4 linked regions of the Struthio camelus genome follow. The protein of the gene in region 1 purifies or fractionates together with the protein of each later gene. This does not show direct contact. Links are inferred from orthologs where the notes say so. Each region holds a gene or a part of one and is shown in the gene's direction. Other genes may lie near its edges.

Region 1 (7,251 bases):
GGGAGATTGCACTCCTTGGGGAAGTGGTAAGAGCGCTTTGCAAATATAGCAGCTGCTTGAACTGCAAGTCTTGGCCTGACTGTGGCCTAGCACCTTATCCATTGCTGTCCCACCACCTCTGGGCACAGCTGCTTTGCTGCTGCCTCCAGTCTTGATGCAATCACAGACATGAAACCACCCAGAGGCTCATGACCTGAGCCCTTTGCAGGGCTCCTCTTCCTGTTGCAAAGAGCTGCAAATCTCCTCTTGCTTGAGCAAACGAGGCCTGTGCAGATCATTGCCCTCTAAACAAGAAAAGGGACACATTTCCGGATGAGAAGGAAGCACCACCCACACCAGAGATGCAGGTTTAAAGGCCCCGGGCAGCACCCACGCTGCTGCCTCTCAGGTCTTGCTCTCCTGCACAGGGGTTTTACCCACATCATCCAAATGCCACTTACCTCCTCGGGGTGTGGAGCAGCCAAATCTGTCTGTTCGGTGCTGCACCAGTGAGATGCACTGTCTTAACGCCGGGTTGCTCTGTCCCCAGGCTGGAGTCCAGGATGTCGTCAGACATTAATATAATCCTCCAGCTCCTGCAGCGCCAGCTGTCCCAAGTGCCACCAGCGTACAGCCCCATCTCGCCGTCCTCCCACAACCTGGCCATGTACGGCATAGTCCCGCGGAGCCTGGAGCCGCTCACCCCCTGCGCACCCCTAGAGGAAGAGGAGCGGACAGCCCCAGGGCAGGTAAGGCCACCACTCCTAGCTCAGCACCAGCGGAGCCTTCTTCCACCTCCAGTAGACAGGTCCACGCAGTGCCAGTGTTTCTCTCCAGCCTTCCTATACACAAAGCGCAGCCAGGCTCAAGGGCCCAAGCAAAGCCCAGGGGTCTTGAAAAAGCAGCACATCTACCTGGAGATGCTTCTGCACAATGCACTGCTGGTTTCAGGGGCATCTCCAGCATGAGCAGGCTGCCCAGTCAATGGGGAGGGGAGTGGGTTCCTCTGCTCTGAGGTCCCCTCAGGGAAAAAAGATATTTTGGGGTTTGGAGCCTCATGGGGTGAGGAGAGACTGGGGCTACATCGTTTTGCTTTTGCCATAACCGACTTGATTCCTCCTTTCCCCCCAGAGCCCGAGCTACACAGAGGTAGATAAGTTCCACTTGAAATCCAGGGAGTCCTTGTCAAGCGGAATACACCTGACTGTGGCATCTGACGAAACCATGACGATCTACTCCGAGCAGGAGCACCATTCCCCAATTCTCCCGCACCCAGAGCCTCCTCACCAAAGGGCACCAAATACCCAGGGACTCTGCCGGGGCTCTCGCTTCCCTTCCCTTCCTGAGCACTTGGAGGCATCTTCAGAGCACCAGGACATTCAGAGACACCTCTCCGACCCTGTGCTTCCTGGAAGTTAGAGCTGTGGCGGCTGCAAAGCGAGTCAAGAGGAACCTCAACTGCGAACTCATTCAGTTGATGTTGACGTTGACTGCCAGGGTAAGATGGAGGACAATGCCTTTGGCTCAGGGGTATAATTTGTAGCTGTCTTCTGCCACCGTGAAAGGAAGCATAGAGTGGCTGGCTTCCAAGATCAACATTTTCCAGTGGATCCCATAGAGTAGATTTCATTTGCACATTATAGCGAACCCAGAACAGTTCTTTCCTGTGGCCATCAACAAGCTGGGTAAGCCAAACAGCACCCACCTCCTCTTCCTTGCCAAGGCTTCCTCCCAAGAATAGTGCAAGCCAAATGAGCCACAGCAACCGGAGGAGGGCAAATCCACAGAGCTTAGCTGCGAGGCCACTTTGCTGTCAGCTCTTTGGAGCAGGGACCATTGTGTTGGCGCTGGGCTTAGCCCAGCAGAGCCTGAAGGCACTGGCTTTACAGAAAGGGTAGTCACCAGAGGAGGAGGAGAACTGCACAGTGCAGTACTGGGGGGAGCTACAGGGGTGAAGCCCAGGACAAGGACAGAGGACAGAAGCCATTCCTGTCCTACCTGACTGCCACTGAGAAACTAAGGGCCGACAACCCCCACCACTCCAGCACGCTTCAGCACGAGTCCTAGGGCACTGACTTCTCCAGCAAGGCTGGTTGCACTTTGCAAACCCCAACATGCGTATCCCACAACTCCCCAGATGAATCCAACTGTTCACTGGCCTGGGCATAAAGCACAAAACTCAAAAGCACAATCCCAGAAAGCCGAAACGCCCCACACATCTCATGTCCAGCCTTTCCTCCTAGCTTTTCTCTTTTGATAAAAGTTTGATAGATGCTTCCTCTTCCCTAGACCTTTCCCAGCAGACTCCTGCAGCATCCCTTATAGGAGAAGCCCACTTAGCACTGCCACCTTGCCGTTCGGTTAGACGCTGTAACAGTCCTAGGCCGCCTGCTCAAGTAATATATTGAGCTCCCTTTGAGAGTAGTAAAACTGTGAGCATCTCTTTCTCCGGAGTTTTAGTGTACACTTTGCTAATAAAGATGTTTTTGGCACCTAATGTGGATTGCAGCGTGTTTGTTGGGAGCATCAGCAAATTCATCCCTGGCAGTAGCTTCAGGGTCCAGGTCCTCGTCTGTAAAGACCCTTGAGAAGATCGTGGTCAAACCCCAGATGCTTCTGCCAGGGACTATGGTGCTAACGGAGCCCATGAGCAGATCTTACAGATCAAGGATGAGGTCTGCTGGGTGTTTGCTGAACAATTTCTTCCCAACAGGATGCAGTTTGGTCTCAGCAGCTCTTTGCAAAAGCTTTTTTACAAGACCAGCCAGCTACTATTCCCCTGCATAGGTGAAACGATCTAGCAAACACACCTCAGGTAGTGATTACGCCAAGAGTCCTTAGAGCAAGCGGGATGTCAGATGACCATACTGATACCAGAACCCGCTCTACATCCCTTGCTAAAGGAGACACAGCTCTGGGTCCTGTCCAAACTCAATGGCTCCATAAGGAGAGCTGAGCCCAGGTTCACCCATAACTGATCCCTTCTGCTCCCAGCTGAGCCCTCCTGCCTTGGAGAGCCGGGGACTTCAGAGGGCGCAGGGCAGGCACAGCACAGGGACCAGAGCGGCTCAGACTGGGGTGCCCTGAGAGGGGGGCTCCGGGGAGCACCAGCACTGGGCTCGCATGCTCCAAAAATGCCAGGAGCACCCTCCTCCTCCAGGCAGGCCCTCGCGAGGCACTGCCAGCCCTCCCCTGCCCTCCAGCCCATCTGGCTCCACACGGCTGAGTGGGGGGCTGCCCTCAGGCCCTGGCTCCACGCCCAGCTCCAGCAAAGCAGCTATTTATACCCGGCGCCAGCTCAGGTTTCCGCTCCCCATGGCGGGGACGCCGCATCCCCGCACCGTGCCGCCTCTCCTGCTCAGCCCAGAGAGCTGGGGAGCCCCAAGGCCCTCAAGGGACCTGCATGAGCACCTCAGGAGCAACTGTACCCGCATCGGGTCCCCGGGGCAGCCGCGACAGAGCCAAATAGCTGCCCGGCCTGGGCTGCCACGGCTCCTCGGCCCGCAGGCCCAGGGGCTCACGCCAGGCGCGCTGGGCCGCAGCCTGTCCCCGTCCAGCCAGGAGCTGCCTGGGAAGCCCGCACAGGCTCCTTCCCCAGGTAAGGCTCAGGGAATTGCTCCAAGGCTGTTAAGTGCTACCAACAATAAAATCCGATAATTAAGCTTCGGTTAATTATAGATAAACGCAACCCTGTCAGGCACTCGGCGGAGGCGGGGCTCGAACCGTTAACCCCAGCGCGCGCCTGAAGTGCTCCACCGCCTCCAACTCACGTGACTGACACCTCTTCCTGCCAATCCGTTATCAGTAAGGTCTCAAGACCCCGCCTCATGCCACTGCGACCCCTAGCAGCCAATGGGATTTCAAGAACGAGTATGGCCTCCGTCTGGGGTGGGATCAAACGCAACGGTAGGTTACCTCACTCAAGGGGGCTAGCGTCCGTTTGGAATGATGGGTAAAACGACCAATAGAAAGCCAAAGAGGGCCAAACGGACGGGAGAATTACCCAATAGCTGCTCGAGAAGCTAAGTGACAGGCCAGGCAGCCAAGCCGTGTGCAAGGGGCGGGGCTCCCCGCGTGGCTTCCGCTCCCGTTGTGTGAGGGACCGAATCCCAAACGGCCTCCGCGCCGCTCTCGCCGTCGCCGGGTTTGGAGCCGGGCCCGGGGGCGCGGTGCCGTGCTGCGGCCTCGCCCCGCTCGCTGCCGCCTCGCCTCGCCCGGCCCGGCCCGGCCCGGCCCGGCCCGGCCCGCGCTGCGCCGCGCCCGCTGCCGCCTCGTCCGGCCCCGCTGCCCTCCGGCGGGCCCCGCGGCCCAGCCCGGGGCTCCCCCGCTTCTCCTCCTCCTCCGGGGCCCGCGGCCACCGCTGCCTCGCCATGTCGCTACACGGGAAGCGGAAGGAGATCTACAAATACGAGGCGCCCTGGACCGTGTACGCCATGAACTGGAGCGTCCGGCCGGACAAGCGGTTCCGCCTGGCGCTGGGCAGCTTCGTGGAGGAGTATAACAACAAGGTGGGCGGCGCCGGGGCAGGAGCGCGGCCCGCTCCCTTCCCCCCCACCCCCGGGACAGCGGGGCCCCCGCACCCGGCACGGCCCCACCGGGGGTACCCTGAGGGGGGGGGCTGCGCGGCGCCGTCAGCCCCTCGGCGGGCTGCAGCAGCGCGGGGGGCCGGGCCGCTCAGGCTGCTGCAGGCCGAGGGGCTGGGGCCGGGGAGAGCAGCGCGGGGGCTGCTCCTCGGCGAGGAAGAGCTCCTAGGTACAGCGTACAGGGCTTCTGCGCAGGGCGCTGCAAAGTTTTACGGCAGGGCTCGAGTTTGTGCTTGTGCGGGCTGCGTAAGGCTTTGCTGGAAGCGTTATGCCCTACTTGTCTTTTAGTGCTGTGGAGGACTTGTGCGCAGTAACTTTCTTTCTTTTTTTTTAATATATAAACTCTTTTTGTTGATCCTTTAGTTCCTTGCCCCCTCTCTGGGGGCAAGAATGTCCTGAGGCATAAGATTATATCCTCACTATTTCCCTGCCAGGTATAAGCAAGGGACCTAACACTGATAGTACAAGCCATGTCATCACCTCTTCAAATACATGCCCAGTCCTTTTCTGGACAGACTCTAGTGTGCTGAACTGATGCAGTGAATGCATACAGTTGGAGGAGAAATAAAGAAACAGCCATACCTATAGAGCGTAATAAACTTGTGTGAAACTGAAGAGTTTGTAAGTACAACTTTGTACGTAGCCTGTGTGTCTTGCAGCTTTGCCAAGCTGTTTAATAGGATTGCGGAAAATGATATTGGAAAAGTTGGTGTTGGGAATGGGGCTTTGTGCAAGGCTGTAATGAGATGAGGTGACCGTACGGCTGGAGTGGACATCTCTTGCAGTAGTTAGCTTACTGCTTTTGCAGTACTCTAAGCAGTGATACTTGTACCGAGCGCTTTGTATCGTAGTCCGATTACTGGCTGAACGTGAGTTGTCTCCTCATGTGTGTGAGTGTTGTTGTGGTTCTGGGGAAAGGCAGGTCACTGGTCTTGAAAACTTTCTATTTGTTTAGAGACTAACTTTAAAATGCTTTGTGTAGCATGTACTGTGAGAACCTAAAATAACAAATGCAAGCAATATTTTGTTTAGAAGTGGTAGAGTTCATTAATAAGCAGGTATAGTTCTGTGCTGTCTGCGGACAGGTAACAGAGTGAAGCTTTATGGTGCAGAAGGGTGATTTATGTGACCTTTAACTCCTTAAGTCTGGACCGTTCCCTGGGGTTGCCCTAGATTAAGACAGGATCTGCTTTTCAGTCCAGACTTTTCAAGTGAAAAGCAGTTGAGTCAACCAGTGGCTTTTCCGCCCTTTACATTCACAGTTGTTGCAGACGGAAATTGTGTAGGACTATGTAAATTACTGCTGTCTGTAAACATTTCCCCTGGATTCTTTTGACCTCTGTGCTTCAGGGATAACTATTATCCTGTTGACTTCAGTCCCTGTAAAGTGCTGTGCACTATATAATTGTATGAGAATGAGATGCCTGTCTGGATGCTGCTGCTATAGAAACAAAGAAGATGCGTGGTTAAAAATTAAGCCTGTACAATAAATCTAGTGTAATATGACCTTCACTTTGCTGAGATGTTTTGCTATGTCTGATGCTACAGAGTGTGTATTTTTTTTTTTTTTTTGCAGTTGTGAAGTGCTTTCAAAGGTGCCCTCCAAATAGGAGGGTCATTGACAGAGAGAGCTGTCTTAGGTAAATGTAAGTGTTGTTATTGCTTAGAGTATTGTTATTGTCTCCTTTACTTGGAAGACCAGAAGGAGCTTGCTTGGGAGTAGTTTTTCAGTTGCACTGTTTTTTTGGTGACTTACTGTGACTTTTGCCACTCCTCTGAATTCTGTGGAGGACACTGAAATATTTAGGAAGGAAATGACTTCGTACTCTGGATTTTGAACTGCTGGACAGATGCTGTCTGGTCATGTCAGGGACGTGCTAGCTGCAGACTCTTTCAGCTCCAGCTTCTGTCTGTTCATGTGAGTGGTACAACCAAAGGAACAACAGGAAAGAACTGAAGTTGTCCTGTTTATGTAGTTGATACCATTGTGCTGCAAAAGATCTAGAGCTTTTGATTTTATATCCGAAGTTCAGGGATAAGCAGCTGTTTAAGACTTTCAAGGAACTTCCATTTCATTTCATCTGACTCAGCAGTCATAATCTTAGGAGGCTTCTTAGAAATGTTGTTTGGAGCTCCTATTCCTGATGTTGCAGTGTTTTGTTTGAGAAAAATTGGCTTCCTTCCTTCCCCTTAATATGTTAAAACATCAGTCTGGAAAAGCAATTCTAGCTTTCTAAAAATCTAACCCAACAGCTGAAAATACCACTTCCTTATTAATCTATTGTTTTATTTTGAAAAGGGGGTGGGGGGGGTTAAAAAGTTCTGACGCACCGAGTGTTCACTGCAGCAGAAGTGCCTGCTGTGGGGTAGTGTAGTAAATGAGAGGACAGATTCTCTAAGTTTCTATTTCTGTAATAATTACCAGAGCTTGAAGTACCCGATGGGTTACAAATATAAAATGGCTGTTTATGCCTCTGTTTTGTGGGGAATTCAAATACATTAACTGCCAAACCCTGATTTATTGCTATCTCCAATTCCCAGACTCTCTTAACACTGTCAACCCTCTCCCCACCACTAACGAGCTGTGTAGTATACCAGAAAGCTAGTTACCAACAAATGTGTGAACCCCAAGGGAGTTTTGTTTCAGCTCGTATACCTTTGCTGATGAAATCACTGGCATGTGAAGAGA
Region 2 (6,876 bases), on another chromosome or scaffold:
TGCCCATTAAGAGTGGAGTATGCAAAGAAAAATCATTGCTTGAGACACCAGTAACGTTTAAAAATTATTTTTTCTTTCAAAAACAAAACAAAAATAATCATCTTTCAAATTTGCCACGTTTCAGACAAAAATGGTACAACGCTGGGCAATTCCACAGCAAAAGCCAGGCCTCAGACTACACAAGTCCGTCTACTTCAGGCTCCTGTAGAACTAGACTTGCAGTCCAGGCAAATAATTAGCTTGCAAGTCTGCTTGTAGAGATAGATGAAACGTGCCCTCTGGAGCTTAAGGGGAAAAAAAAGTAGGTGTTCCTCTGCATACCCAGCCAGTGAAGGCCCTGCCAAGCCTACAATGCTACGTAGGCTGCACACAGGCTGTTTGAAGGATGTCTGAGAACGAGCCACAGGGGCAGAAGACAACATATAACATACGCATGAGCGCTCCAAAGGGGACTCTTTCAGAGCACTGATTTCAACTGTAATGAACAGGTATAGACATTTGTTAAAAGAGAAAATCTATTTTAACTTTGCAATAGCAAATTGCAATATTCTGCATTCCTCCTGCTACAATCAACTACTTTCCAGATAACCAAAGTGGCATTTAATCCAGTAAATGTAAATGTTACCCTTAACGCGTGAGCAAAGTAGGAGACTAAACAGGTTCTGGAAGTGAACAGGAAAATATTTTCCCTTTTGAAGTGGTCAAAATATTAAACACAGATGCATGAGTATATGTCTGAATTCCATTGAGACCTATCTATATAGATATACGTATGAGAGAGAGAGAGAACAGAAGGGGATGAGTAGAGGGAACAGAAAGGAAATCTTGGCAAAATAACACAGAAGAAAGGGAATAGAAAATATAGGAGAATGAGGTAGAAAGAACACGAAGAAATAAAAGTCCATGAAGATGCAGGGTAAGAATGGAAATATAGAACCAGTTACATGGAATTAATACTTATGAGTGTATTCTATAAAATAAAAAACAATACACAGAAGTCAAATACAGAACAAAACATTCAGTCATGCTGGTTTAGATGGGACTGATCAGCCATTGCTAACACTGAAGGAAAACGTGCGCGGTTTGGGGTCTACAGAGAAAGGCCTCTCTTGACCTGAGTAATTTCAAGGAAGGAAAAGAGAAAATGATAATGCAAATAAAGAAAGTGAAATCTGATGCTGCCCTCTGAGATGACCTTGGCACAGAGAAATACTTGCATGGGTATCAGCCCAGATAGCATAATTGCTGTTACTTTCAGAAGATTTGTACTTCTTGGTCAGTGCTGGCTCAGCTTGGATTCTTGCAGCTTTAGCAGTCTGTTTCATAGAAAGTAGTAATTTAGACTTCTCCACAAGAGGCAATGCTCTAGACCACACCAACCCCCTTATGTGGACTTTCCTTGTCTGAACGAGAAAGCAATGCTGGTGTCTGATGCTAGCATGGCAGTTGCTACCAGAATGCCTCTTTGACTACAGCAAGGATTTTTTTCTCCTTTTTAATCAGTCAATAACAAGCATTGTATGCTTGTTGTACAGGGGCAGTGGCTGCCAGAACTCTCCCAGAAGTCAAATCTTCAAAAATCAGAAGTACTAAATGCTTGCATCTCAGACTTTGTGTGGTCCAATTGTAAACAGATTTATCAAATCAGGTCGGCTGCATTCTGAAAGTGATTTTACATTTCACTTTAGAAACAACTGAAAAGAAAATCCTTCCCAGAATACAGTAAAGAAACACTTTAACAATTATACAGCATTTCTTAAACTAGGAAATATTATTTGATGTCACTCTTCATTACTTATAAACATATTACAAATCCAGCCTCCTCCAATACAGAACCACGTTTTATCTCTATTTCTGTAGTACTGTCCTCTGTAAAGCTCTTCATCTGCACGCTACTCTCACTTCCCTTGCCAGATGTGTTAAGTGTAGCGGACCCTCAGTTCCACTCTCACTCACTTTTGTTGATTTATTGCATCTCTTCCACTCTCTTCATGCAAACATAAATCAGTAAAAACATTTTGTGACGTTTCTTATACTTCAGCTTTTAAGACTTTTTCTTTTCATATTTTTCCTGCCTCCTGCGAGAGCTAGCCTGTGAAATACTGACTCTCCACTTCCTACCTATATATATGTATGGAGAGAGAGAAAGCTTATATGAAGCTAATGCATTACACTACATCATACAGCAACTACAAAGGATTCATAAAAAGAGCGTCTGCAAAACAGAGCTCTGACAGAAAACAATCTCTGCTCAGCAGTGAAGTTTTGAGCAAGTGGGAGAACATGAATGAAGTCCTTTCATTCTTCTGCCCAAGGTTAGCCGGAACATGGTTCAGCCCTACGAAGGCTCTAACAATAACTGAACAATTATTTCTTTCAGCAACAGAACTAAAAGCAATCCCTGTTCCCGTCTTTTGTTTCTGTTCCCACACTGCTCCCTGAGCAGTGCCATACTGAACCACACCACAGAACTGACCCAGATGAAAATTACTTCAACAAAAGACAACTTTACAAGCGTAATTGTTGTTTTTCATGTTGGCAGTTCACTGGCCATCTCCACATATGGCCTTAATGTTAGAACTGAGGGAGCAGCAGAGGGGCAGGAACAAGCCAAGAATCACCAGAGACAGGTACTTTATCTATCTTCCCATTACCAGACATGCAAAAATAGCTAGCTATACAGCCAGAGTGGAGATTTTTCAGCTGAAGAAAACAAATTCCCACACTCCATGTTATTCCTGGAACCCTTCTGTTCTTCACATTAGCAAGGTGCACAGCACGGCACAAAACTTAGTTAAGTCCTAAACTAATCTTTTTTTCTTCCTCATGTTCAAAGAAAGAGTGATCTGAGCTAGTGTACTGATTAGTCCCGAGTCGTCAAGGCGTAAGAGCCGATAGCTAAAAGCCGCGCTCCGCCATAGCTGAGCGGCACTACCAGCGCGGAGAAAACCCAGAACAAGCGACCCTGCTCAGGCCCTAAGCCGTCACCTACCTGCACCCTACATCACTGCACCCAACTTTCTGAAGCGGGCGCGGGTGGCGTTACCCTTAGACGCCCTTTCCCCCTCCCCCACCCCCAATTTGTTTCTGCCAGGGAGCTGGGCCGCTGGGCAGGGACGAGCAGCGGCGCGGGGCGGCCCGTGACCCCTTGGCGGGGGGCGGCAGCCCGGCGCAGAGGGAAGCCCGGGCCGAGGGCGGCGGGAGCTGCCGGCGTCGCGCGCCCTGAGGGGGGCGCGAGGGGGGAGGGGTGGGGACGGGCAGCCGGTTAACGGACGAGAAAGTTCTCCGCTGCGCCCCCTCCGCCTTTTCATACCACGGAGGCAACTTACCGGCGGCCGAGCGACGTGGGAGGCGGCCATAGCCCCGGGAGGGAACGGGCGGGGGGGCGACAAGGAGGTGCGCGGGTGGGGGGGAAGCCCGGGGCGAGCTGACATCGAGCGGGGCCTTCCCCGGGGCAGGGCAGCGCGGCCGCGGCGGCTCCCCTGCCAGCGCGGGAACGGCGGCGCCGGCCGGGGCGGGGCCAAGAGGAGGTGTCGGGGGCGGGGCCAACGGGGAGGGGGCGGGACGGAGGGGCGGGGCTAACGGAACGGGCGGGCGACTCCCGAACGGGCGGGGCCGCTTCGGTCTCACGCGGTTTGGGGGCGCGGGGGGGGGGGGAGGAGGGAAGGGTCGGCGCCGGCGCCGCCTGACTCAAACGATCTCCCGCCGCGAGGGGGCGGGGCGGGACGTGCGGCCGCGTCCCCCCCCCCCACCCCACCCCTCGCCGCACGGGGGCGCCGGGTCCTCGCCGAACGGGCGGGGCGCGTCCCGCTGCCGCCGCGGCCGTGATTGAGCCGCGGGGACGGGGCATGTCGGCACCGCCGTGAGGAGGAGGCGGCGGGGAGGAGCCCGGGCGGCGGCAGCAGCGGCAGCAGCAGCAACAACTCCGCGGCGCCCTGAGCCCCGGCGGCGGCGGCGGCATGGGGCGGTGATGGCGGAGCTGCGCCAAGAGTCGGTGGTGCAGTTCCTGGCGGCGCGGGGCGGGCGGGCGCGCAACGCGGAGCTGCTGGAGCATTTCCGGGGCTGGCTCAGCCCCCCGGAGCCCGGCCGCCGCGCCGCCGCCCGCCACCGCTTCAAGGAGCTCGTCAACGCCGTGGCCACCGTGCGCCAGGAGCCCGGCACCGGCGTCAAGTACGTGCAGCTCCGCCGCCGGTACTGCCCGCCGGAGCCCGCCGCCGGCGCCGTGACCCCCGCGGAGGCGGCGGCGGCGGCGGCGGCGGGGGGCAGCGCGGAGCGGCCGAGCCCGCCGCCCTCCCCCGCTGAGGAGCCGCCGCCGCCGCCGCCGGGCGGCGATGCCGGCAGCCGCCCTCAGCCGGCGGCGCCGCGGGGCGAGGCGACCCGGCCGGCGGCGGGCGGCGGGCGGCGAAGGAGCTCGCGGCGGGGGCCGCCGGCCGGGCGCGGCGGCGAGGAGGCGGCGGCGGTAGCGGCGGCGGCGGTGGCGGGCCCGGGGCGGCCGCCGGCCGAGGAGGAGGCGGCGGCGGCGGCGGAGGCGGGGGGGTGCCCGGGCGCGGCCACGCCGCGGGGCGGCTGCCGGAGCCTGCGGGAGCTGGCGCGGGGCGGCTCGCCGCAGCTGAAGCGCGGCGGGCCGCGGGGGGCCCGCGGCGGCGAGTCGGACAGCGCCTCGGTGGCCTCGTCGTCGGCCGAGGAGGAGGGAGGGGGCGGCGGCGCGGGCGCGGTGGCGCTGGACCCGCTGGAGCACGCCTGGATGCTCTCGGCCTCGGACGGGCGGTGGGAGAGCCTGGAAGGGCTGCTGAGCTGCGAGCCGGCGCTGCTCTGCAAGCGGGACTTCGTCACCGGCTTCACGGTGCTGCACTGGGCCGCCAAGCACGGGCGGCAGGAGCTGCTGGCCATGCTGGTCAACTTCGCCCAGCGGCACCGGCTGCCCGTGGACATCAACGCCCGCACCAGCGGCGGGTACACGGCGCTGCACCTCGCCGCCATGCACGGCCGCACCGAGGTGGTGAAGCTCCTGGTGGGCGCCTACGACGCCGACGTGGACATCCGCGACTACAGCGGGCGCAAGGCCGCCCAGTACCTGCGCCAGGGCACCCCGGGGGACATGCGGAGCCTCGTGGGGGCCCTGGACGAGGAGGACGAGGAAGAGGAGGAAGGGGCGGCTGGCAACGGGAGCGGCCGCTGGAGGCTCTCCAAGGTGTTACCCTCCAACCTCATGAGCTACCGGCTCTCCCACCACCATCACCACCACCACCACAGCACAGGGGAGGAGGCCGAGGGCACCGAAGGGGCGGCGGTGTCGGGCAAGGGCAAGGAGATGACCAGGAAAGCCTCCGGCAGTGGGCGGATGAAGCCTCGGCTTAATAAGATCCGCTTCAGGACTCAGATCATCCACAACACGCCCTCCTTCCGCGGTGACGCCGAGGAGGAAGAGCAGGAGGAGAAGTCCCCGAAAGTGTCATTCAAGCTCAGGCCGAAGTCCAACGTTTTTGGATAAGGCAGGAGGAGCCGGAGGTGTGGGAGGTGGGCTCAGGGGCCAGAGCACCCTAAGGTGTAGTGTGGGAGGTGGGGCAGGTACGAGCGGGTGCTCCTCTAGACTTATGTGCTCTCAGGAGATAGGTCCTGAGACTCTTGCTTTAACTCTGGGGTTTCAGTGAGTTCAACAGGCCGGCAGGGCTGTGGTGGCTCACAACGCCCAAGAAAGCAGCTGCTTCGATTATGGCCTTGGTGCTGAAACAAGGGGCAGTGGGTGCATTGAGAAACGCTGGGGTGTTTAAAAGCTGTGCTGCTTTCTCTCTAAGGGCAAACTTCTCCATCAGAAGCCAGTGTTAGTAAATCTAGGATTAGCGAGTTGAGTGGGGGAAAGAAAAATGCAAATGCTCTGTTCTTACGTTATCAGCTGGTACTATAAACTACTTGTGAACAGCTGGCTATTTAAGAACACCTCAGTAGTATGCAAGTATACTTTAAGTCTCTTTCTAACAGCAATACCACCTGGCACAGTGCAGAGTTGGGTACCCAAAAGGAGACTGTAGATAAATGGTTTCCTGTCGGAGTCTTAGCTCCAGTCCAGCAAAGACTTGAACCTGTATTGACTTTATGCATTGAAAATTGCCTAATTTGACATCACATACATTAAAAAAAAAAAAAAAAAAAAAAGCACTGCAAACAATGAATGGAGTTAAACGTGCAGAAGTCTCTGCTGTCTGAGGTACTACTGAACTTGCTTATCACTGTTGGAATACTAATACAAGATAATGTAGAGCAAAGAATCTTTTTATATATTTCGTATCTTATGTTTTGTCGTAGGCAAAGCAATTTTATTTTGATCACTGTGAATTCTCAAGTGCCAGACCTAGCACAGTTTGAGTTACTGAAGTCTGGTCAGTTCTTGCTAATGTTGTTTGTATAGCTCACTGCATTTAAAACCAGAAAATTGCATTGTATGTGGTACGTGTGAAAGTCATTCTGTTTTAGTGAAGAGCCCAGAAGCTATTGCATGAAACCTTCATGAAGCTCTAATAAGGTCCTGTAATGCAATAGCGCAGGCCTGTGTTCGCTAGCAACTTGTGTTCCAATTCCTACAGCTTTGTGCAGAAAAACCCAAAAGACGGGGAGCGGGAGGGGCAAGGTACATAAGTAGAACTCTGAAACTCTATCGCTGTCTGTTAGGTTGCGGAGCAAAAGCAGTATAAGATACGTTCTAGTTAATGATGGCAACAGTGTTTGAGTTCTTTTAAACCTGTATTTCTAGAGAAGGAACCACCAGGGCTTTGATCTGCTGTTTAACAGCCTAGTAAGTCTTAATCTGATTGATGAGCCTATCTGTCTGCTAAAGATTTCACCAGACCTGAATCTTGCTTCTCTGCTTTAAAGATAGCA
Region 3 (8,016 bases), on another chromosome or scaffold:
ACTGAAAGAAATCCTAATCAGGTGAGTAGCAGCTTACTTCCAGGAGACTGCAGATAGCTGTCATTTCCTTTGCTCCTTATGACTTCAGCTTGGTGCCATTTCTGCAGAAGTCTTTAGCTATTCAGTCCCCAGCATGCCATCCTATTCCAGTATTTCCTTTCTTTTGCAAGTGCAGCCTAAAGTGTCTGAACATTTTCCCCACTCCTCAGCTTGATGTTCTCTGAGTTTCCACACATCCATGAAGTCCTGATAAATTCTTCCCAACTCCAATAAGAATATCCAAATTTATAACAGCAGCTGGCTTGCATTTCCAGGCTGCTGTGTACGCCACTGGAAAAAGTTCCCATAGGAGCACACTGGATACTAAAGAGAGATGTTTTTCTAGGCCTTATCTGACCATGGAATTTGAACTCCTCATGCAAAACAGAACCCACAATCTAGAAGACATATTGTCATTTTTACCCAGTTAAGCTTGCCTTCTTATGAGATGAAACCAGAAAGATCTCAATAATTTTGCTTTCTCTCACGACACAGATGCGCTTCAATTGTATTTTGGCATGTATTGCCCTGTTGTCACAGCATGATTTTGTATCTTGATTGGACCTGCAACACAAAAGCAAAAAGGCATCACTTCCATTCCGAGCCTATCATCCTTTCCAATCTTGTCTGTTCAGAGTAACCTCTGAACTGTTGGCACTTGTGAAGTAGATCAGCTGGAGACTATCAATACTGTTTTAATTTAAGTCGACATTTTCAAACGATTTCATCTATTGATCCCATGCAAGAGTAATACTCCTCTAAAAACTCCTGAAGTGCTTTCCAGTGACCTAAGCTAACTGGATTAGCTATAGCAGAAAATACATGTACTGAGGTAGGAATACACACATAGTATCAAAATCTAGCGTTCCTGTCTAGCTTGGAATCATCTGCACTATCAAGCAAGCTAAGTCCAGGACATGAGCAACATTTTAGCCAGGCGCTGTGGACCAATGACCTAAGAAGTACTCATAGGTTGACTAGATTTCTCCTTCTCATTATGTCACAAGGGAGATAAGCACAATTTGGGACAGGCAGATGCAACTACTTCTGCTGTTACTAAGAGATTTATGTTCATCTTGAATTCTAAGCCCTGTGAACCCTATGAGGTTCACACTTCTGTGTTTCTGGTATTAATAGCATTCTATGCAAACCAGGTGTGATCCTCAGGCTTCTCTCAATATGCCACTCACATTTTTCATTGGCCAAATACCAGTATTGTTTGACGAGCACAGTTAGATATTATACTTTCACCGGACACGTTTTATCTCTTATTTTTCAATTGCTCAGGTTCCCACTGCTAAATAACCAACTAGAAACTAAGCCCTTTAACATTCTATCCTCTGCATAAACGTCTCAAAATTGTTTAAATTTTACCATCCCAGAATTTGACAAACATGTGCCTAAAGATAAGCTGGGGATTTCCATTTGTACAGTAATAGATTTTGGCTGGTGAAAGGGCAGCCAACTGCCAACAGCCAAACCTCTGACCTTTGGATGGTCCTTTAGCATGGCAATATCTGTACAGAATATAAACAGAGTAGATGAGTAGCTAAAAAAAGATCAAGGCCAAGACAAAGTCATGATTAGACATCCACTCCCAAATAGCTCCTGATTAGAACAGAAACAGAGATGTTTTTAGTGATATATTCATATAGATATGTATGTATGCATGTATTTATAATCATGCACAGACAAACATATACACTCTAGCTTCAGTGAGCTTCTGGCTTAAAAAAAACGTAGCTGGCATAAGCTTCACTGAAGGTATTGTATATACAGGCAGTTCCAAAAATATTTTAAGATAGCATAAGACAGCACTGCCACAGAAAGAGGTTGCTTCCCTGCCTCTCTTCATCCGTCCTTGTGCCGGCACAAGTCTTTGCACAGCCATGCGGTGAGGAAGCTGAAAGGTGACCAGGCCTCTTTTGGCTCAGTTTTAATGTAAGATCAATTCCCTAATCTGGTTTACTGTATGGGTGCGCAGCTGTTTAGCACAAGAGGATCTGAGGGGAGAGGAAGGGGAATGCAGAGGTGAGAATGAGCAGCCAGAGATGGGACTGCTTTTCTGGAAGCTGTCCTGGCTTACAATACTGGAACTGGAGTGTGGAATTATTGAAAACCACTCACTTCCTTTATGAATCTGCAATATTATGAGTTACACAAACACCGGGTCATTTAACTCCTCCAAACAAAAGATGTCTAAATTGGAGTGAACTGGATAACTGAAGCGCTGAATAAGTCTTTCACCCTCAAGTTGCTTACTTTAGTGGTGCTAAAGTCACTGATGACCTAGAAGAAACATCATGCAATGCTGCAATGCTATTATTGGCTTGCATGAGCTGACTTTGTTTTTTGCTCTAGTTCCAACACTAGACAAGCTACATTCACCATATATAATCACTTGAGAGACTAATGGAAAAACATCATTTAAATTACTGATGAATTAGAAAGGGATGGTCACCTTTTGAGTAAGGATGAATGCTCACAAGGTTAAAATTCCACACTGCCAAGCAGTAATAACGTTGGGTTTAATTGGTAAGCTAACATTTACTAAGCTACTGACTATGGCCTGTACTACTTTCAGTACTAAGGTACTGAAAATGAGTGCTTTGGAGAAGCTTTCCCTGAAAAATCTAAAAACAGATTTCAGAAATTCTTAAAAGATAAATACTCAGCCTCTCTTGTTACAGAGACATTATAACGGACCCAAAATTGAGAAATGTTTTTTAACAGTAAAAGCCTATTTCTTTAACAACCTACATACCATTGCCTTGATTCTTCTGTTTTTTGGCTTGGTGAAAACCAAGTCAGGAAAATAACACCCGTGTATACGAACGAGCTCAGAATTTTTTTTAATACAAAACAATACTATTTTGGGCATCACAGCTGAAGCCCAGTTTGGCATTCCACCTACAAATGATGTCGTGTGTAGATAGGATCCTAAAGGGAAAGAGCCATGGACTTCCTGGCTGAAGTTGGCAAAATTTCTAAGAACTATTTTATCACTTAACCATTCTGTTTCCTATCTGGAAAAAAAAATGTACTCATGTAAGTTCCACAATAATGAGGCAGCTACATCCAGTAACAGCACAGAGAATGAGAAATGTATGGCAAAAAAATGACAAAACTTTTAAGTGTTGATGAATCCCTAGAAACTTGCCTGACATCATGCAGGCTATTAGTCATAAAGGAGAGAACTGAAACCCATCCTGCAGGTAATGATCAGCAGTTTAACCACTGAACCATGTTTCCTCTCTCTCCCCTACAATGAATGCCTGTAACCAGAATGCACTCGGTTACTGATGTAGCACCCGGGCCCCATGCTCCTGACTATGAAAAGTCTTCTGCATCGACTTAGGAGTCCATTCTCTGAGCTCCATGGCTAAGAACAGATTCCAGAACTTGCTTTACAAGAAACTACTCCTTGGCTCTAGAATAGGACAGGCATTTTCTTGTTCCTCATCTGCACTGTGGTGCAGAGTAATAAACGGTGTTATGCCCCTTATCCCAAGCCCGAGCACCTCCTTTTGCAGTGCCCAGACTTTGTAGTCACAGTAGTCAGGGCTGAAGAGGTTCCCACCTCTGCTTCAAATGTCATCTGCCCCTGTGTGCTTGTGGCAGAACTGCGTACAGATTTGTCAATGTATAATCCTGGGTGCTTTATGTATAGTTTGCTTTCCAACATCACTTTTTTTTCACACTGCCATGATATGTTACAGGTTAAAGCTGGCTGAATTCTAAGCATTATAGGATGCAAAACTAAATCGAGTGTTTCCTCTGGAGGTCGCTTAATCAATAACATACATGCTTATCAAGCAGTTCCTTGATCTTTAGGTGGTCTATCAATGCTGCAGATGTGGAGCAACTCAGTCTCTGTTGGGTTACAGGCTCAGATATAGCGTGGCCTAAGCACAGCGGTATCACTTCTAGAGCTTTGGAAGCTCTCATCTTGAAAAAGCGTATTTGATTTTGTGTGCCACAGAACCAAAAGGTTTATCGAACCTAAAGCAACTCCCTACAGAAGCAGCTCCCCTGCCTCAGAAATAAAGGCATCAGGAAGCAACGTAAAGAGCTATTCCAGCGCTAGACTACAGCTAATCTTGCTTGGACCTAAGCTGCCTGTAGAGATGTTGAGGTGTGCCTCCAAACTACTCTTCAGCTTGTCCTGTAGTACATAATTACTTGGCATTACCCTGGATAATGGAGAGCTGACTGCACTCGCTCTTCCTATCAGAACATTTGTTGCCCTTTTGAAACAAGTCACGTATGCATTAGGCCAAATACTAGATTGGAGTGTGCAAAGTTTTATGACTGGCTATTGCCATCAGTGGTTATGATGGCGCTTAACTCCCTTTCTGGACTGTGTATCACTAAATGTACTCAGAGACACGCCCAAGAGGCAAGATGCTAAACTAGACAGTGAGAGAAAGGTTCTGAAGGAGCCAACACGAGCCGCCACCACCACAACAGTACTATCACTTCACTACATGGACAATGTTCCTTAGGGAAAAAACACCATTACTCGGGGCCTTTTATAAACAGAGGTAGTGAGTGTACCAACAGTACAATGAATGAAGAAAGTGTATCTGACCTGCTTCAGAAAGGTATGATTTGGAGGTCTTTTCTTTTTAAATAAAATGACATAAGTGTAAGTCAGTTTAAACACTGTAGAAGTCAGATGTGCCATCCTGTTTGGTTTCATTTACATAAAGCAAAATACAAAGCCATAGGAAAAGCCCGCCATCTCATAATATAGAAGTATCTAAACGTTACCCCTTCCATAATGCTATATCCTCTCTTGGAAACTCAGAGGTCTTATCTGAGCGTAAGGCTTTCAGCGAAGCGGGCTTCTGACTTGCTTAGGCTGCACCGTGAGGAATGAAAGGGCTCGGACTAGCTGCTGGTTTCCGAGACCCGGATTGGAGGAGGCCCTCCCGGCCGAGAGGCACGGGCTCCGCCACAGCGTCCGCACGCCCGAAGGCCTCCACCCGGCAAAGCGGCAACCGGCCGCCGCCTGCCAACGCCTGCCGCGGCCGTTAGGGGACCCAACGGCTACCCGCGCGCCACCACGCCCCGCCCCGCCCCGCCCCGCCCCACTTCCCCCCCCCTCGCGCGCGTGCGCGCGCACGCGCACGGCGGCCCGCTCTCCCGTCGTCCCTGGCGCGCGGTGGTGGGTGGCCGGCCGGAGCGGAACGGAGCGGAGCGTTAAGCGGTGCGAGATGGCGCTGCACGTCCCCAAGGCCCCGGGCTTCGCCCAGATGCTCAAGGAAGGGGCGAAGGTGAGAGCGGCGCCGGGCGGACGCTGCTGCCGCCCGCCCCGGCACCCCTTTCGCGGCGGTGAGGTGGCGCGGGGAAGCTTCTGGAAGGCCATCCGGGCCTGGCGGCCCACGCGCTCGGCGGGCGGGGCGGCCTGCCGCTGCCCGCCTTGCCGCTGCCGGCCCCGGCCCCGCTGCGCCGCTCTGCGCGGGGCCTGGAGGGAGAAGGGGGCAGGGGGGCGGTGCCTGGCGCACGCGGGCTTCCAGAAGGCTCTGCCCGGGGCGGGGGGGGGTGGGGAACGGGGGACTGGACGTGATCGCCCCCTTCGCCGAGGCCGCCTCGCCCGCGGTGGGGGGGGGGGCCCTCCGTGCCCGGGGTGGCGCGGGCGCTGCCTCTCGCCGCCCGCGGGGCCGCTCCGTCCGCGCCCTCCCGCCTCACGCGTGGGGCGCCCGGGGCCGCTTCCTGGCCGCCCCTACTCTCGGCTCGCCAGCGGCGCTGACTCTTCCCGGCGAAGCGCTCGCGGCCTGCCTTCGTTTTGAGAATGAGTGCGGGAGGGCGTTTTGTTACGGAGAGTGTTTGCGGACGGTGGGCAGTGCAGTGCAGCCGGGCCCTATAGCTGGAGCAGTTCCGAAGTGGCCTGACTGCTTACCGTATATATTCTTTGATTGTTTTCTGTTGCTTTAGCTCTAAGCAGGTACTGCGAAATAACCAAGTGTTTTCTGTATAGTTACACTTAATACTGAACGAATTTAATAAACACAGATTTTGACAGTCATCAAGGACCGTGCCTGATAGAGCAGAAGCCTAGTTTGAGAAAGCTGGTAGAAAAAGAAAAAACACCCAAAACTTATTTTTTCGGGAGGAGGGGAAAGAAACTTACGACTGCAGACGTTTAAACGCATGGAAGGGGAGATTAGGCAACTCAGGAAGCCCTATATTTGTTTTCCAAGATCTTTTCTGGAGACAGGGAGTAGCATATTTCAGAGGGGTGGGGGTCGGGGCAGGGAAGCAGAATAGCGCCAATGCTGGTCCTTTGATGTAAGGTACAAGGGCAGAACAACAGGAGCTGTATTTCACAAAACAAGGAAGCACTTGGCCCCCTGAGATGCTTTGCATTTGCAGAATACCTGCCTATACTTTTCTGTGCCCTCTGAAGGAGGGCACAGAGAAGAGTGTTCCGAGCTTTGTAGGTCTTCTGAAGGTCTTCTAGGCATCCCTCCTTTTCAAAAGGCTTCCAAATGGAAGCTGAGCAATCACAGATATTTTCTGAATCATTGTGATTTTTCAAGTCATGCATGTATGTTTGAATACAGAGCACAGTTTTATCTCTGTGGAATGCAGAGGTGTGAATAAAAAGCATATGATGAAACACTACGTTCACAAAACCTTGCCCCTTTCCAAGCTGGTAACGTTTTCCTTTTTAGCATTATTCAGGACTTGAAGAAGCTGTTTACAGGAACATCCAGGCATGCAAAGAACTTGCTCAAACCACCCGTACAGCTTATGGACCAAATGGTAAATAAATCCAAACGTCACTGTAATGTTTTGGTGAAAAATGATAATGTTCAAAGGCTAATCTTACTTGGATGAAGAAGCAGCTGTTTATTAGTTTCCTGAAGAAACACATCGAACTCACTGCTGAGTTCAAAATGCAGCTTTTTTGGATATAAAGATTACAGATTTTGTTTAGTTAACTCTTAAGTTTTTTTTGTAGTATATTTACTTTTCTCTGTTTTTGTACAGTTACTGTATCCTTTTTGTTGTCTTACTGCTCTGCTGAAGACCTACAAAATTAAAGGAAAGACAGTAACTAGGTAGATAGTTATAATGAACATAACCGTACCGTGTTCTGACAAGCGTACCTAAACAAAAGATAGTCCCAATATTATTTAATTACATAACGTACGAGCATTTCTGAAGAGAGAACTGTTCATTCAGGCATGAAAATGATTTCTTCCTCATGTAACACTCCCAAACCTAAATATCTTTTAGGTGTTCCTACAAAGTTATAACATTTTAATGCATAAAATATACCTAAAATCTTCTGCTTAAGAAACAGTATCTGTAAAAACCACACACAGCTTACAAATGATTTTTGTTTTCCTCTCTCTTAGGAATGAACAAAATGGTTATCAACCACCTGGAGAAGCTTTTTGTTACAAATGATGCTGCCACTATCTTGAGAGAGCTGGAGGTAAGTTTTCTCTTTTTGGAAGATTTCGGTCATGCTGAACTAGTATTTCTCTTAGCATGGGCCACTACAGTTCTGAATGTTGTTAAGGAAATTTGTGTCAGCCTGCCTGATGATGTCTGTCACTTTGTAAATCATTTAAGTTTTCACTGGATTTGAGGGTGTAAAGTAATTGGGCTATCTCCAGGTGAGAAACGGGCTTCTTCTGTAAAGCAGCACTAAGCAGTTGCAGATGCTTAGTAATTGCCTCCTTTATTCTCTCAAACCACCCTAGATTTAGAGAAGGCTATATCTAAACAATACAAGGTTTTGAAAACGCTGGATGAAGTAGCTGTTAATTGCCTTATACTGGTACTTGCCATATTCAACTACCATGTTCTAAGCTGACAGGAGGAGTATGGTATATGGTAGTATGGCATGGAGCTGTAGCAGCGTCCTTTTGTGAATTAAGTGATACAAGATCTATGGAGAAACTGACCTGTCCTGACTTTTCTCTTACTATCATAATACCTGTCTCACTGCACAAAAAT
Region 4 (7,887 bases), on another chromosome or scaffold:
GGGAGCTCAGTCTCTGCTCTGGGGACAGCACTGAAAAGGTGTCGGCAGGCTGGGGAGCAAGGCTGTAGCCCTGACGTCTCCTTCTGGTCTAGGTAACGTTCAGTGATGACAGTGACGTGGAGGATCCCAAACTGGGGGTGACCCCAGCAGCTGGCAAAACCCCAGGCCCCAGCCACAAGACTCCCCAGCCAACAGGCCGCACCCGGAGAGCCCTGCGCCCCAAAGCCACGGCTGCTGACACAGAGGGGTCCCAGACGAGCTCGTCGGAGGACAGCTCCCGGAGCAGCAATGCCCAGCCCCGGAGAGCGCGAGCGGGCTCCCGCAGAGCTGGGGGCACAGAGGAGAAAAGAGAGCGAACAACCCGCAGGGCTCCTGGCAGGAGAGCAGAGGAGGAGCGGGAACTTCTGAGGACCATTGAGGAAGAGGAGAAGGTGGAAGAAGAGCTTGAGATTAGCTTTGAGGTTTTGCGGGCCTCTGAGGAAGAAGAGGGAGTCCCAGGTGAGCAAGGCTGCCTGGGAGTGGGGGGGATAATCAGCAGGGAGCCTTCAAGCTACCCCAGCAGCTGTCTGGAGGTGGAGATATCCAAGGCCCTGGGCTGTCCCTGCCACCAGGCCCCTCTTGCTCTCCCTTAAGGCAGGAGACGGCAGCCCCAGCGTGGGCAGGAGAGCGCAGACGGGGAGCGTGAGGTCCTGCGGCGAGACGCCAGTGAGGACATCCTGGCCATACGGAGGCTTGGCAGCGGGGGCCCCCTGCACCTGGAGGCCCTCTCCTCCTCCCTGTCCACGGCTGGCGGTGAGCGACCGATGCTGAGGGGCTGCTCTGTGGGCTGTTGCTGTGCAGGGCACTGGTTTTGGGCTGGGGGCTCGTGGCTGTGCTGGGGAATCCACGTTTGTCCCCTCTCCTACCAGCTCCTCGGGCAGGCGGCTCTGGAAACCTCTGCTCTAGCCCTTCTCCACCTCCTCTTACAATTTCCCATTGCTTTGAGCTTTGCCAAAGGGTTCAGGTGCTCTGCTCTCTGTCAGGAGCTCACCTCTGCCTTGGGGGGGATTTGCTGCTTTGCCCCTTCCAGATGTCTCTTCCCTGGACAAAGCCTGTGAATTCCTGAAAGGTGCTTTCAACTGCATCAGCCACTGCCCTCCCAGTGCCCTCTACAGCCAAGTCTGCCAGCTCCTGGCCCTGTCCCTGGGCAAGCAGGACCCCATCTCCACTGCCTACCTGGTGTCGGAGTCTGTCTCGGTCACCACCCGCCATCAGCTGCTCAGCACGGTCCACAGGAAACTTCAGTAAGTCCCTCCACCCTCCCTGGCTGGCTTTGTGGAACAAAACCCCCTCGGCCTCCCCTGCTTTTAACCTTAGAGCACTGCTGAGCAGGAGGGGGGTCTCTGCCAAAAACTTTGGAGCCCCAGCAAAGGTAATTTCAAAGTGGATTTATTCCCTGACTGTCTTTCCCTCTCCAGCAAAGCCAAGAAGTCAGCAGCAGACGTAGCCGAGCAGCTCCACGGGCTCTCCTTGCGGGAGGAGAGCGCTGCTGTGCGCAGCCACCACCTCGCTCAGCTCCAAGACCTCTTCGAGTTCAGCTCCACGGGGATGGGGCCTCAGGAGCAGGATGGCTTCAGGGAGCAGCTGGAGAACATCCCCAGTGGTAAGGGCTCATCCAAAAGCAAGGGCTGGGAAGCTCACTGCTCTGTGTCGGTCTGGGGCTGAGTCCTGGAGGGCTGTGTGGCCTTGGGACTGTCCCCTGGCTGTTCCTGAGGTCTGGGTCTGGTTCCCAGGGGTGACCGTGTGCGTGCTGACCCTGGTGAGCCTCCAGCCTGCCTCCGTGGGAGACATGCTGCTGCTCACACGGCTGGAGAAGGGCAGCGCTCCTGTGACCATCCGGATCCCGACTGCGCTCACCAAGGTGAGGGCAGGAAAGGGAGAGGGGACAAGCCCAGCTGCAGGGTGAGTTTGGGGCTGGGATCACTGTTCCCTTCCTCTTCCAGGCCCCGCTGAGCTCGGTGCTGAGCGAGTTCGATGCCATTCAGAAGGAGCAGAAGGAATCCAGCAACTGCACGGACAAGAGGGACTGGTGGCTGTGTCGCTCGGAGCTGGACCAGAGAATGAAGGTTGGGGAGAGACTTCCCTCACCCTGATCTGCCTGGTGGCACCTGGCACAGCTTTTGAAGAGGGCTGCCATGCCCAGACCCCCCGTGACTCTGGCCTCTTGCAGAACCTCATCGAAACCCTGGAGATGCAGGTGTTGGGCTGTTGGAAGGGGGCCCTGCTCCCTGCCAGCCAGGAGCCCAGCCTGGCAGAGGAGGCTTCCAGCTTGTGCAACCAGCTCCAGAAATGTGGTTGGGAGGACGCAGATGCAGCGCTCCTCAAGGTTTGTGTTGGAGATCCTAGTTGGCCTGGGCTGGGGCAGCAGTTTGGGCAGCCAAACAGCCTGGCATCACGTGCCAGCCTACAGCATGGTGCTGTCAATGTTTATGCATTTCTGCTCCCCTCTTCCTTCCTGTAGGTTGTGCTGAACTCCTCTCCCCTCCTCACTGCCCAAGATTTGCAGTCCCTGGCCTTTGGGCTCTGCCCAGCTCAGCCCTACACGGCCCAGCTCCTCTTGCAGGAAGCCCTGGAGAAGCGGAGAGCTTGCGCCAGGCAGGCCAGCGGCTCCCTTGTCCTGGTGCTGGATAAGGTGAGTCTCTGCTCCTGCCTGTACTCTGCGTGGCTGCTTGCTGCCTTTTGTTCACCCCTTCCTCTTCCTCCCAGCACCTGCAGAAGCTACCCTGGGAGAGCATGGCGTGTCTGAAGGCTGTGCCCGTAACCAGGCTCCCTTCCCTGCGATTCCTGCTTGGCTATTCCCTGGCGCAGAAGGTGAGAGGGCCAGGGACTGTGCACCCCGGGCCGGGGCTCTGCGCACACTGGCTCTGCAGCACCGCAGGGTTTGGCACCCTGCGGGTTCTGCTCCGGGCTGGGGCTGACTTGTCTCGTGTCCCCACTCTGGCAGCGGGCAGGATCTGTGCTGAGCCGCGGCGTGAACCCCAGCAGCACTTTCTACATCCTCAACCCGCACAACAACCTGCCGGGCACCGAGGAGCGTTTCCGGGGCTGGTTTGAGAGGTGAGCGTGTCCCCTGCCCCGGGCAGGGATCCTGCAGCCTGGGGTGCCCCAGGGGCTCTCTGCTCTCCGCCGTCCTCACCAGGTCTCTCCCGCAGCGAGCCCGGCTGGAGCGGTGTGACAGGAGCCATCCCGAGCCAGGAGCAGATGCAGACGGCGCTCTCGGAGCGTGATCTCTACATGTGAGCCTTGGGGATGGCGTGGGCTCCTTTGAGACAGCCCAGGGCCCTCTTTAAGCCTGATGGGGGAGGTCGGGGAGGCTTCACCAGATCTCTCACCTGGACCTTCTCCCTGCAGCTACGCCGGGCACGGAGCAGGCGCCCGCTTCCTGGACGGGCAGTCCATCGCCAGGCTGGAGTGCCGCGCCGTGGCCCTGCTCTTCGGCTGCAGCAGCGCCGCCCTGGCCGTGCGCGGCAGCCTGGAGGGATCTGGCATCGTTCTCAAGTACATCATGGCTGGGTGGTGAGTGGCGAGGAGATGCGGAAAGCAGGGGCGAGGCTTGGGGAAGCTCAGCTTGTCCCTTTGCTACAAGGGCCGTCTCGTGCAGCTGGGTGTCTCTGCCCCTGCAGCAGTCCTGTTTTCCCCCCACCCTGCGCATCTGCACCCCAAAGGGGCTGACATGACCCCTTGCTCCTTTCCAGCCCCCTCGTCCTGGGCAACCTGTGGGACGTGACGGACCGCGACATCGACCGCTACGCCGAGGCTCTGCTCCAGGGCTGGCTGAAGGCGGGCTCGGGCGCCCCGCTCCTGCACTCTGTCGCCCAGGCCCGCCAGGCTCCCAAACTCAAGTACCTCATCGGCGCTGCCCCCGTTGCCTACGGCTTGCCTGTGTGCCTGCAGTGAGGGCTCAGCGCTGCCTCTGCCACTGCCTCTTGGCCCCAGCCCTCCTCCCCTCCCCTCTCTCCCTGTGCCCCCCCCCCAATGATGATCAGGTGCTGCTGAGGCTGTTTTAAACTTGCGGTGTTTGCACAGGGGGCCAGCTGGGGTGGGGTGTTACATGTTTAACTGTTCTTGGATCTTAACTTATTTTAAAGTGGTTTTAGATGACACAGTCGCTGTATGTTGAGACAATAAAGCTGGTGCAGTTGGACCTGACCCTTGTGTGCTGGCTAAGGATGGTGCTCAGGCTCAGGGTGCCTGCCACCCTGGGCTGCCCTGTGGGGCTCTGCCCCCTTCCCTCTGCCTCTGTCCCCTCTCCCCGGGCCCCAGCCAGCTCTCCCAGGTAAGCAGGAGCCCGTTGCACTGCAGCTCTGAGCGATCGCCCACCCCATGGGCTGTGTTGTCCCTTGCGGGGCATGCTCTGCCCTCCGAGGGTGACCTCAAAGCACCTTCTTGGGGTCCTGCTGCAGCTGCACCCCTCGTTGTCCTCCTTGGGGCCTCTGCAGTTGGGATTTTCCCTCCTCCCTTGTTTGGGGGGGGGGGGGAACACCCCTCCTAGCTGGGTGAGGGACAGAGGGAACAACCCTGGCTGCTGCAGCCCCTGCCTCTTCCTCGCACCTTGGAAGCCCCAGTGGAGGGTGGGGGGCAGTAAACCCCCTTTTCCCTGGGTGGGAGCAGTGGGTGGGGGTCCTGCAATAGAGCCTATCCTTATTTGGGGGGGGAACACCCCTGGGTCCCCCCTGTCTTGGGGGGGGCAACCTGGCTCCTTCCTTCCCTGCTTTTGGGGGGGGGGAATGACCCCCCCCCGGCTGCCCCCTGTCCTGCTTTGGGGGGGGGGGGGAGGAAATGATCCCCTCCGGCTACCCCCTGCCCTGGGGCTGTTGCCCCCGCCGGCCGCCAGGGGGCGCCGCGGCACCAGCGAGAGGCGGCAGCTGGCGCTAGAGCGTCGCGGCGGGCGGCACCAGCGAGACGGGGCGACGTGCGCTAGAGCGTCGCGGGCGGCCCAAGATGGCGCAGCAGGTGAATGTGGCGGAGCTGTCGCTGCCGCAGCTGGAGATGCTCAAGAGCCAGCTCGACCAGGTGGGCCGCGCCGGGAGCCGGGCTCCGCGGCTGGAGGGGCTGCTGGGGGCGGGGGACAGGGCTGGGGGAGCGCCGGGCCGGTGGAGAGGCCGAAATGGGGGTGAGGCCTGATGTGGCTGTGGGGACTGGAGGGGGCGGCGAGAGGGTGCTGGGCTGTGGGGACTGGGGGGGTCGCATGTGGGACCAGACTGGTCTAGGCTGGAGGTCCTGGGGGGTGACTTATGGGACCAGACTGAGTCAGCCTGGGGGGACAGGGGGACGTTAAGGTGGGGCTAGGGTGTGGGGACTGGGGGGAGATATGTGGGACCAGACTGGGCCAGGCTGTGGGGACTGCAGGGGCGGGGGTGGTGGTGATGGTGGTGGTGTATGGGACCAAATAGGGTCAGGCTGGACTGGGATATGGGGACTGGGTGACTGGAGAGGTGACACGTGGGACCAGACTGGGCCGAGCTGTGGGAACTGGGGGTTATCAAAGTGGGGACTACTGGGCCGGGCTGGACCAGGCTGGGGGGTGACATGGTGGGGCTGGACTGGGTGGTCTGGGGGGGTGACATGTGGGACTGGACTGGGCTAGGCTGTGGGGGTGGCAGGGTAAGGTTAGACTGTGCCACAGGTCTGCTGTGGGGGGGAGCTGGGTGGCCTAGGGGTGATGACCAGACCAGGTGACGTGCCCCAGCCCTGTCCTGCCGTACATGGCACTCGATTAGGGCCTCTTCTGCTCTCTCAGCACCTCTTTGGTGGTAAGGGGACGCTCACAGGCTCACGCTCTCTCGCCTAGGAGGTGGAGTTCCTCTCGTCCTCTATTGCCCAGCTCAAAGTGGTGCAGACCAAGTACGTGGAAGCCAAGGACTGCCTCAATGTACTCAACAAAAGCAACGAAGGTGAGTGAGATACCTTCACCCTCGGCCTGCGTGGCCCTGCCAGGTCCCTGGGGCACTTACTGGGATGCCTGAGCAGCAACTGGAGAGGCTGGTGTTGTCCTGCCTGGCCTTGCCAGTCCTGGCTGCTGCCTAGGTGAGACACATCACTCTGTGCTTTGAGTGACGACTGAGAGCCCAGGCTCTGCGCTTTCTTCTGCCCTGCGTCAGTTTATGCCCTTGGACCAGGTTCTTGTTTCCGTGGTGCCTCCTTCCCTGCTAGGAGGTTGGGCGTTAAGCAGCATCCCAGGCACGCGGGGTGCACGGAGGGGCTAGATGTGGTTGTAACGTCGTACCTAGCTGTTTGGCGCTGTGTAGCTGCTCTGTGTGCCCCTCGCCCTGCTGTGGGCAATCAGCTGGTGCATCCGAGCGCTCAAACACGTTTCTGCTTTGTTTCCTGTAGGAAAGGACCTGCTGGTCCCGCTCACCAGCTCTGTATCCTTTGCCAGCCCTGCAGTCCTCTGAAGTTAACTCTTCTTTGCTAGCGGGGACGCGGGAATGTCAACTGCTAGGGCCGAGGGGCTTGGGGGACGTTTTACCTGGCTGTGCCCACTTCAGGAGGGACATGGCCTCTCCTGGTTGCTCCTTCCCTGCCTCCTGGGAAGGTGCTGGCCAGTCCTCGTTCCTCTCTGAGCAAGGACCCCAGGATGTTTCCTTTCCCTCTGGCCAGCGGCTGAGCTGGGGTGTTTAGGGCTGACAGATTTTTGCCCCTGTTGCTCTTGACACGAGCTCTGCTTCTTCATGCTGGGCCTGTGCTGCTCGGGTCGTGCGTTGGTCCGTGGTGGCCACTGTGCCGAGGACGCCTGGCCTCGGTTCCCAGCTCTGCTGGGCTGAGGTGCTTTGCTCCCAGAGCTGCCTAGTTGTCTTGGTTCCCTGCTTTCCCTTGACCCCCCCCCGCCAGATGTATGTCCCTGGGAAGCTCTCAGATGTCGAGCACGTGCTGATAGATGTAGGAACAGGCTACTACGTGGAGAAGGTAAGGGGTGCGTGGAGTGGCCCAGAAGCAGCTGCGTTTCTGCAGCAGATCATAAACAGAATTGTCCGTGGCCGAAGGGTAGCAGGAACTTTGTGCCTAGAGCTCTCTGTTATCCTTTATTCCCTCAGACAGCAGATGATGCCCGAGACTTTTTCAAGCGGAAGATTGACTTCCTGACCAAACAGATGGAGAAGATCCAGCCTGCGCTGCAGGAGAAACATGCCATGAAGCAGGGTAAGGGCCCATCTCCCACACCCCGCTGCAGCTCCTCGCTCTGGGCAGGCCCCCGAGCAGCTCCCCTCACTGCCTGGGTGCCTTGTCTTCCTGCAGCCGTGGTGGAAATGATGAGCCAGAAGATCCAGCAGCTCACGGCCCTGGGGGCCGCGCAGGGCGTGACAACAAAGGCGTAGCCTTCGGCCTCAGGGGCTGCCTTCATCAGCATCGCTGCTGGGACGAGAGCAGAGCTGCTGAAGAAAGCCGCTGGGGCCCAGACCACCTTGTCCCCCCTTCCCCAACACTCCTCTCCCTGCTCGGCAGGGCTCTGCTGTTGACTCTAAACACGTGCGGTGCCTGGAAGCAAAGCACCAGCCAAACCCTTCCCTTTTTGTAAGCAGTGCGTTGCTGCCAGTGTATGGAATAAATTAGAGATGCAGGGAACAGCTCCGGGCGGCATCTGGTGCTTCTCGAACCGGGAAGGTTTCAAGGGCAGGAATTCAGCCCTCTGCAGCCAGCGGGAGGTAGGATTGGGCAGGGGCGGAGAGGCACGCAAAGAGGGGGAAAAACAACCTGGGACTCCTCCCAAAGTGGAGTCATGCCAGGCGAAACAGGGGGCCTGCTCCAGCCCGAAAGATCACGCGATACAGACCGGCCTTATCTGAGGAAATCATGCTCTTCCCGATCCCGCAGCTCTCGCAGCGGGGATTCCCAAGATCCTCCGGCCCC

The links.
Region 2: the proteins of DCAF7 (region 1) and SOWAHC purify together in Homo sapiens (affinity purification with mass spectrometry; 4 studies listed by BioGRID and IntAct, counting the BioPlex papers as one, with this or other methods). This does not show direct contact. The link is inferred for Struthio camelus from reciprocal best matches to the Homo sapiens genes DCAF7 and SOWAHC.
Region 3: the proteins of DCAF7 (region 1) and CCT8 purify together in Homo sapiens (affinity purification with mass spectrometry; 3 studies listed by BioGRID and IntAct, with this or other methods). This does not show direct contact. The link is inferred for Struthio camelus from reciprocal best matches to the Homo sapiens genes DCAF7 and CCT8.
Region 4: the proteins of DCAF7 (region 1) and PFDN5 purify together in Homo sapiens (affinity purification with mass spectrometry; 3 studies listed by BioGRID and IntAct, with this or other methods). This does not show direct contact. The link is inferred for Struthio camelus from reciprocal best matches to the Homo sapiens genes DCAF7 and PFDN5.

Annotation. Positions count from the first base shown.
Region 1 is NC_090966.1:4,188,542-4,195,792, forward strand, and holds the start of DCAF7 (DDB1- and CUL4-associated factor 7), read left to right. Parts: upstream 1-4,249; 5' UTR 4,250-4,349; coding exon 4,350-4,487; intron 4,488-7,251. Other genes in the region: KCNH6 (potassium voltage-gated channel subfamily H member 6), read left to right, coding at 530-728, 1,111-1,398. UniProt on the Homo sapiens protein: Involved in craniofacial development. Acts upstream of the EDN1 pathway and is required for formation of the upper jaw equivalent, the palatoquadrate. The activity required for EDN1 pathway function differs between the first and second arches.
Region 2 is NC_090942.1:155,922,957-155,929,832, forward strand, and holds the start of SOWAHC (ankyrin repeat domain-containing protein SOWAHC), read left to right. Parts: upstream 1-3,871; 5' UTR 3,872-3,970; coding exon 3,971-5,491; 3' UTR 5,492-6,876. Other genes in the region: SEPTIN10 (septin-10), read right to left, coding at 3,330-3,434.
Region 3 is NC_090942.1:118,857,817-118,865,832, reverse strand, and holds the start of CCT8 (T-complex protein 1 subunit theta), read left to right. Parts: upstream 1-5,014; 5' UTR 5,015-5,258; coding exon 5,259-5,318; intron 5,319-6,719; coding exon 6,720-6,810; intron 6,811-7,409; coding exon 7,410-7,489; intron 7,490-8,016. UniProt on the Homo sapiens protein: Component of the chaperonin-containing T-complex (TRiC), a molecular chaperone complex that assists the folding of actin, tubulin and other proteins upon ATP hydrolysis.
Region 4 is NC_090969.1:1,548,840-1,556,726, reverse strand, and holds PFDN5 (prefoldin subunit 5), read left to right. Parts: upstream 1-4,878; 5' UTR 4,879-4,980; coding exon 4,981-5,052; intron 5,053-5,830; coding exon 5,831-5,933; intron 5,934-6,372; coding exon 6,373-6,404; intron 6,405-6,870; coding exon 6,871-6,945; intron 6,946-7,073; coding exon 7,074-7,179; intron 7,180-7,275; coding exon 7,276-7,355; 3' UTR 7,356-7,604; downstream 7,605-7,887. Other genes in the region: ESPL1 (separin), read left to right, coding at 93-498, 634-792, 1,070-1,283, 1,458-1,642, 1,773-1,900, 1,983-2,105, 2,210-2,365, 2,501-2,671 and 5 more. UniProt on the Homo sapiens protein: Binds specifically to cytosolic chaperonin (c-CPN) and transfers target proteins to it. Binds to nascent polypeptide chain and promotes folding in an environment in which there are many competing pathways for nonnative proteins.